2 linked regions of the Coturnix japonica genome follow. The protein of the gene in region 1 purifies or fractionates together with the protein of each later gene. This does not show direct contact. Links are inferred from orthologs where the notes say so. Each region holds a gene or a part of one and is shown in the gene's direction. Other genes may lie near its edges.

The links.
Region 2: the proteins of PIM1 (region 1) and EDC3 purify together in Homo sapiens (affinity purification with mass spectrometry; 3 studies listed by BioGRID and IntAct, counting the BioPlex papers as one, with this or other methods). This does not show direct contact. The link is inferred for Coturnix japonica from reciprocal best matches to the Homo sapiens genes PIM1 and EDC3.

Annotation. Positions count from the first base shown.
Region 1 is NC_029541.1:611,845-615,593, reverse strand, and holds the start of PIM1 (serine/threonine-protein kinase pim-1), read left to right. Parts: upstream 1-1,398; 5' UTR 1,399-1,610; coding exon 1,611-1,692; intron 1,693-1,774; coding exon 1,775-1,881; intron 1,882-1,964; coding exon 1,965-2,015; intron 2,016-2,482; coding exon 2,483-2,849; intron 2,850-3,453; coding exon 3,454-3,630; intron 3,631-3,749. UniProt on the Homo sapiens protein: Proto-oncogene with serine/threonine kinase activity involved in cell survival and cell proliferation and thus providing a selective advantage in tumorigenesis.
Region 2 is NC_029525.1:1,790,073-1,793,007, forward strand, and holds part of EDC3 (enhancer of mRNA-decapping protein 3), read left to right. Parts: intron 1-883; coding exon 884-1,218; 3' UTR 1,219-2,935. UniProt on the Homo sapiens protein: Binds single-stranded RNA. Involved in the process of mRNA degradation and in the positive regulation of mRNA decapping. May play a role in spermiogenesis and oogenesis.

The DNA of each region.
Region 1 (3,749 bases):
GCCGGGTGCTGAGTCAGGCGGTCCCAAGGAGGACTGGCAGAACCGGCCATCCCGAACCTGCCCAGGCTTCGGGTGGGGAATAGGGCAGGAGAAAAGCAGCCCTGCTCCACCCCGAGCTTGCATCACCCCCACATGACAACAAGAAGAAGAAACAACAAAAGGGAGGAAGGCCGCCGTGTCCCATTTCTACACACTTTATCAATACAAAAAGGCCAGCAGGTTGAGGTGCTCCCAGCCCTCGAGGGATGTTCAGCATCCTCCCTAAGCCCCAAAAAGGCAGCGAGCATCTCCTGCACCATGGCGGGGTGGGCGACATCCTGGAGTGTTTCCCTTTGAAAAGAAACACTGAAAGAGCCGTGGTGCTCACCAGCACTTCCAGTAAAAACCCATTCAATTTGGACAATTCAGCCCACAAATATGTGTGGGATGCTGGGAACTCCTCGGGACCGACGAGTGCAGATGGGCTCCGTCTGGAGCAGCGGCCGCAGCTCTTTGCTCCGCGTGGTAACAGCGTGAGTAATCAGAGACCTCCATCCAGCGTTTATTTATCTTATCTCTGGAACTCGGCGAAGCATTTCAGGCTGTGACTTCTGCGGGGGGAAAGGAAGGAAGAAAGAAAAGGATAAAAGAAAGGCTGTTAATCAAAGAGCCTCCAGCGGGAACCTTGTATTAGAAAAGGGAATAGCTCAGGCGTCGGTTTGCCAGGGGTTGTGTAGGAACGGATGAAGTGAAAGGTGCAGGAACGGCCGGGCTGCAGTAACGTGGGGAAATGAAGAGCCAGGGCTGCTGTGGGGGGTGTCTGTGCATAAAGGCCGGGAAGCGCCGGCGCTGTCAGCGCCCATCCCGGCACGGGGCCGAGGCGTCACACGGGGCATCACACGGGGTGTGTGAATGGCTGCCGGTGGGGGCACAGGGCCGGGTGGAGCCGCTGCCCCCCCGCGCTGTACGGGCGGCGTCACCTTCACAGCCGCGTCCGGCCGCTCCCCGCACAACACGCCGCTCCTCGTGAGCCCCGTTCCCGTCACGACGCTCTCGGTCCCTTCGTTCTCTCAGCCCCCTCCCCCGGTGTGAGCGTGACCTCACAGTGCTCCGCACCGCCGCCCCTCCCCCCATCCCTGCACGCCGCTCCCCACGTTCCCGCCACCCGCGCTCCCCCCGCCCATGACGCCGCCCCCCGCCCGGCTCCTTTGGCGCCTTTTCCTTCCCGCCACGTCGTTGCCCGCCGCCGTCGCTCCGCCGCGCGGGCCGCGCCCTATTGGCTGAGGAGCGGCCGAATGGGCGGGGCGTCAGATCGGCGCGCCCAGCGGAGGCCCCGCCCCCCGGCTGTCCCCGGCCCCGCCTCCGCCTCTCGCTACTCCCGCGGCCGGCGCGGGGCTGACGCGCCACACGAGAGTCCGGCAGCGCGGGGAGCAGTCGCGCCGTGCCCGCCCCGCGCCGCCCCCCCCTTCCCCCGGCCCCTTCTCTCTTCTCCCTCCTCCTCCTCCTTCGTCCTCCCCCTCCTCCTCCTCTCGGCTCGCCGTCCCCCGCCCGCCTCCAGCCGGGCTGGGCTGCCCGAGCCGCCTGGGTCGGGTTTGTTCGGGCGGGGCTGCAGCCGGAGCACGGCGGCGGGGATGCTGCTTTCCAAAATCAACTCGTTGGCCCATCTTCGTTCTGGGCCCGGCGCGGAGCTGCACGCCGCCAAACTGCCCGCAGGTGAGGAGCCGCGGGGCGGTGCGGGGCGGTGCGGTGCTGGGGCTCGGGTCGGGGAAGCGCTGACGCCGCGCTCCTCCCGCAGGGAAGGAGAAGGAGCCGCTGGAGAAGCTGTACCAGGTGGGCCCGCTGCTGGGCAGCGGGGGGTTCGGCTCCGTCTATTCGGGGATCCGCCTCTCCGACAGCGCCCCGGTAAGTGCGGGGTGAGCCGCGGGCGGCGGGCGGCGGGGTTCGGCCCGGCTCAGCCCCGCTGAGCGCCGCGCATCGCCCCGCAGGTGGCCATCAAGCACGTGGCGAGGGACCGCATCTCCGAGTGGGGCGAGCTGGTGAGCACCGGGGAACGGGGGATGGGAGGGGGGAGAGAGCGGTGTGGATGGGGGGACGGAACGCCGGAGTATCCCTGTTAGGGGTGCGGGGAGAGGATGGAGCATCTCTGGTTCTGGGGGGGATGGGTTGGGAAGCGTCCCTGGTTTTGGAGCTTGGGGGGGGTGTCGGAGCGTTCCTTGTCTTAAGGTACTGCGAAGTATCCAGACCATCCCTGTACTGGGGTGTGGGATGGGGGGAATCCGGAGCATCCTTGGTTTGATGCACAGTAGGAGTGGGGCGGTCCAGAGCATCCCTGGTTCTGGGATGCAGAGGGGAAGCCACTGGAATATCGCTGATCTGGGGGCACTGGAGCAGCTCGGGCTGGGGCTGATTGGATTTATCCAGCCGGGGGATGGGGCAGGGAGCATCCCCGGCTTTCGGGGACGCACCAAAGGACCTGGCGCTGACAGCACCGGTGTCCCCGCAGCCCAGCGGCACGCGCGTGCCGATGGAGATCCTACTGCTGAAGAAGGTGGGCACGGATTTCCGCGGCATCATCCGCCTCCTCGATTGGTTTGAACGTCCGGACAGCTTCGTGCTGGTGCTGGAGAGGCCAGAACCGGTGCAGGATCTCTTCGACTTCATCACGGAGCGGGGGGCCCTGGCGGAGGAGCTGGCGCGGGAGCTGTTCCGCCAGGTGCTGGAGGCCGTGCAGCACTGCCATGACCGCGGCGTGCTGCACCGCGACATCAAGGACGAGAACATCCTCATCGACCTCGCCACCGGAGAGCTCAAACTCATCGACTTCGGCTCCGGTGCCCTCCTCAAGGACACCGTCTACACCGATTTTGATGGTGAGACATTGCCGTGCGCCGAGGCGTCCCCCTGCATGCAGCAAAATGGGGGGGTGAGGGGGGTGGAGATGTGGCATTATTCAGCTGCCCGCAGAGTGTTTGGCACCTCAGGGTGTTGTGAAATGGGAGCCGGCTCCCGGTGTGAGCACCCAACCAACGCTGCGGGCTGGGGCTGGGGGAGGGCAGCCGACAAAAACAAACAGCTCCTGGGGTGGGTTGGGTTGGATGGTGGTGGTGGTGGGGGGGAGAGGTTGCAAAGCATGGTGTGCAGCCCAGAAGGACGGCTCCGTTCCCCTTGTTTGATTTTTATACAGTCGTTTTTAAATTGATTTCGTTTCTCTTTTGGCAGAGGGGTGGGCACAAGGTGTGGTTGTTTCCCCCCCCCCACTCCTCCCTCGGGAGTTTTATTTTTTGCATGTAACGCTTGGCTCCCGGCCTTCCCCGACCCCGTGCTGCCACCTTCCGGCCCCACTGCCTTTATTTTACAACCCAAAGTTTGTAAACAAGAGTCACGTGCTGCTGGGGGTGGTGTGACGCCTGGTGACCCCCTCTCCCCGCCGTCCTCACCCGCCCCCACGGGACATAAGCCGCTGTTCTCCTGCAGGCACGCGAGTCTACAGCCCGCCAGAGTGGATCCGCTACCATCGGTACCACGGGCGCTCAGCCACTGTGTGGTCCCTGGGTGTGCTGCTGTATGACATGGTGTGTGGGGACATCCCCTTCGAGCACGACGAGGACATTCTGCGTGGCCAGGTGTACTTCAGGCAGAGGGTCTCTCCAGGTGGGCACTGGATTGAGAGCAGTGAGGGGTTCACATCATCCACTGGGGAGCTGAAGGGGGTGGTGTGTCTCTGTGCCCTGCAGTCCACCAATGTGTGGTGGGTGGGGGTTTTGGGTGCA
Region 2 (2,935 bases), on another chromosome or scaffold:
GCTCGAGAGGTCCAACAGTGGAGCAGTTGTGCTGGTACAGATGTTTCCGGTCTGAACAAACACAAGAGCTGCTGTGTGAAGCTGAGTCAGACCAGCCATTCTCTTAGAATAACGGCCTGCCTTGTTCAGCATATTGAAACTACTAGTAAATGAGCATCCAAACTGCTGTTTCGCACCATGCATGCAGCCTTGCTGAGCTGGCTGTCAGAGCTCAGATCTTAGCGTGCTCTAGAATAAGCTGATACTTAGCACTTGGTTGTGAGAGAGCTTGTTTCTCTCTGTTGTTTCACCAGCACCGATATAAGACCTAGTTTGTTAAAAGCTTTTGGGAGTAACAAATGTGAAACTGCTCAATATGTTGTACTGTGGTTGTGGTGCCAGGGCCTTATGTGCCTGTGTGAAGACTGATGCTTTCTAACTGGATGCTTTGTGAGGAGGTAATGCAGCAGACAGTGGGTACAAGGAGGCCAAGTGAGCTCAGTGAAACAGGCAGCACTGCAGCAAACAAACTGCTGTCCAGCAGATGTACTTCAGAACAAAATGCTTTTTATTCAGCATGCAGATTAGAAAAATCTCCATTTTTAATGGAAGGAGAAGTTCCCTGCTTTCCTAAGCTGCCTGGACTGGAGAGCCAGCTCAGTGGTGCCATCTGAGGGCTGCTGAAGCGAGTTACAGAGCTTTGAAATACTGATGTCAGTGTCTTCTGCAGAAATACAGCAGTGATAACCTGTGAGGCCAGACTGTGTGGAAAAAGACTGAGGGTAATGGAGACAAAAATGGAAGAGACTCTGCAGGCAGCACAGTGTGAGGAAGGAGGGCACTGAGCTTTAGCTTGAGGTTTGAGGCTGCTCCTCGCTGCTCACAGTGCTTGTGTTTCTTTCAGATCTCCCCGATACCCCTGTTGACCTAGTGATCAACTGCCTGGATTGTCACGAAAATGCCTTTCTGAGAGATCAGCCTTGGTACAAAGCAGTTGTGGACTGGGCCAACCAGAACCGGGCACCCGTCCTCAGCATAGACCCTCCCATAAGCGAAATGGAGCAGGGCATTGATGCCAAGTGGTCGCTGGCCTTGGGGCTACCCCTGCCCCTGGGTGAGAGGGCAGGGCGTGTGTACCTCTGTGACATTGGCATTCCCCAGAAGGTCTTTCAGGAAGTGGGAATAAACTACCACTCACCCTTCGGCTGCAAATTCGTCATCCCCTTGCATTCCACTTAGAGCCCATCCAGCCACGTGGACCTGAAGGAAAAGAAGAGAGGAGGAGTTGTGTCAAATAAGCTGTCCAGTGGAACCTGACTGGTAAACAGGCATCACAAGCCTTAAGGATGTGAAGTTCTGGAGTGAGTTTCCTTCCAGAAGAAATATTATATTAAAAAAGAAAAAAAAAAAAGTCATAAAATGGAACAGAAAGAAGGAAGCAAATGTAACTGCAAAGCTGTTTTCATTCTCTTGTGCCATTGTGAGAAGGAACACGCAGAAAAGTGATATCTGCCCCTGGCAATGGCAGCGGTTGCTGCTGAAACCTGCCAGGGGATTATATAGCATAGGGATATGCATGGGAATGTTCTGGTACAAGCGATGGGTGGTGTGGAGGCTTGGGATGCATTTCCAATCCTTCTGGGCAGATGGACCCAGCAAACTGTCCTGGTGGGATCAGCTCCCCTGGGTTGTGTAGAAATAACCTTTCTTTTTTTCTTTTTCCCTGCAGTTGTAGTGGGAGGTTGGATTTGATTTTTGTTCTGTTCTGTTGGATTCCCCCTCCCTGTTCTTTGTTCATGAAGGCAATAGTAGCTCCATCCCTTCAAGGAGAGAGTTCCCTCATCAGAAAGCTCATATCAGGAGCCAGAAGCTCTCAGGCAGCACATGCTCCGAGAGCACCAATGTCCTCAGCTAGGCCTTATTTGCTTATGTATTCTCTTGGCTGTTTGTTTGTTTCGGGGGAACGAGTTATGTTATGGTAAAGAACTTTTCCAGAGTGTTTTGGTTTGTTTGGTTTGTTTCTTTGTTCCCTTTATTTCTGGCACGGTGAGTGGCTCAACAGGGGGAAGCACAGTGAAGCAGGGTAGTGTTGCTCTGACTGTGCTGTATGGTGCAGGTGATGTGTTGATGTGTCCCCCTACAGTGTTTCTAGTGTCTTTCCCATGCACCATGTGGTTGTTCACACATCTGGTCATTCCCTTTGGGCACAAAGGCTGTGTGTGAGGGTGGCTGTGCACACCTGGGTACTGGGTATACTGGAAAGAAACAACCCCTGGCCTTCAAGAGTGCCCTTGGGTCACAGTGGGCTGCGTACCCAGTAGTGACAGGTAGGCCACAGCATTACTGTGTGGTTACACAGAGGTGGGAATGGATGTGGAGTCTGTCCCCCTGTGCCCACTGGGGACCTGGAGTGAGGGTCAGTTCTGCCCTCTGTGCCCAGACTAAGGTGACACAGGAGACACCAGACAGATGCCAAACTGGGGTCCTTGGCTCCCTTCCTGCTTGCTCTGTTCTCTTGGGGCCTTACCTGCCCTCAAAGCTTCTGCTGATCCTAAACTTGTCATGCAGCCTGTTCAAGCAGCTGTGGAAGACTTCAGATCTTCACACAGTGCCTTTTCTCTAGAGCAGCTGGATTCTGTTAGGCTGAAGCATGAGCACAGCTGCCCTGTGTGTGGGAACAGTTCTAGCTGTGCTGTATCTCTGTTTGTCCTGCCCACCGCATGTTGATCCCTGTGTGCTTTGCATATACAGATCAGGCGCTTCTTTTTACCTTTCATCTGCTGAGAGCAGAGGCTGAGGGGTATCAGAGGCAGAGGTAAAAGACTTTGCTGGTTGAAAGGGAGCAGTTGAGTAATTAATTTGCCAGGAAGCTTAGATCTGATGCTGGATGTGGGGAGAGCAAACTTCAGGCCTCCCTCAGAGGATCTGCTTCTGAAGGCATTGAGGTCCATCAGTG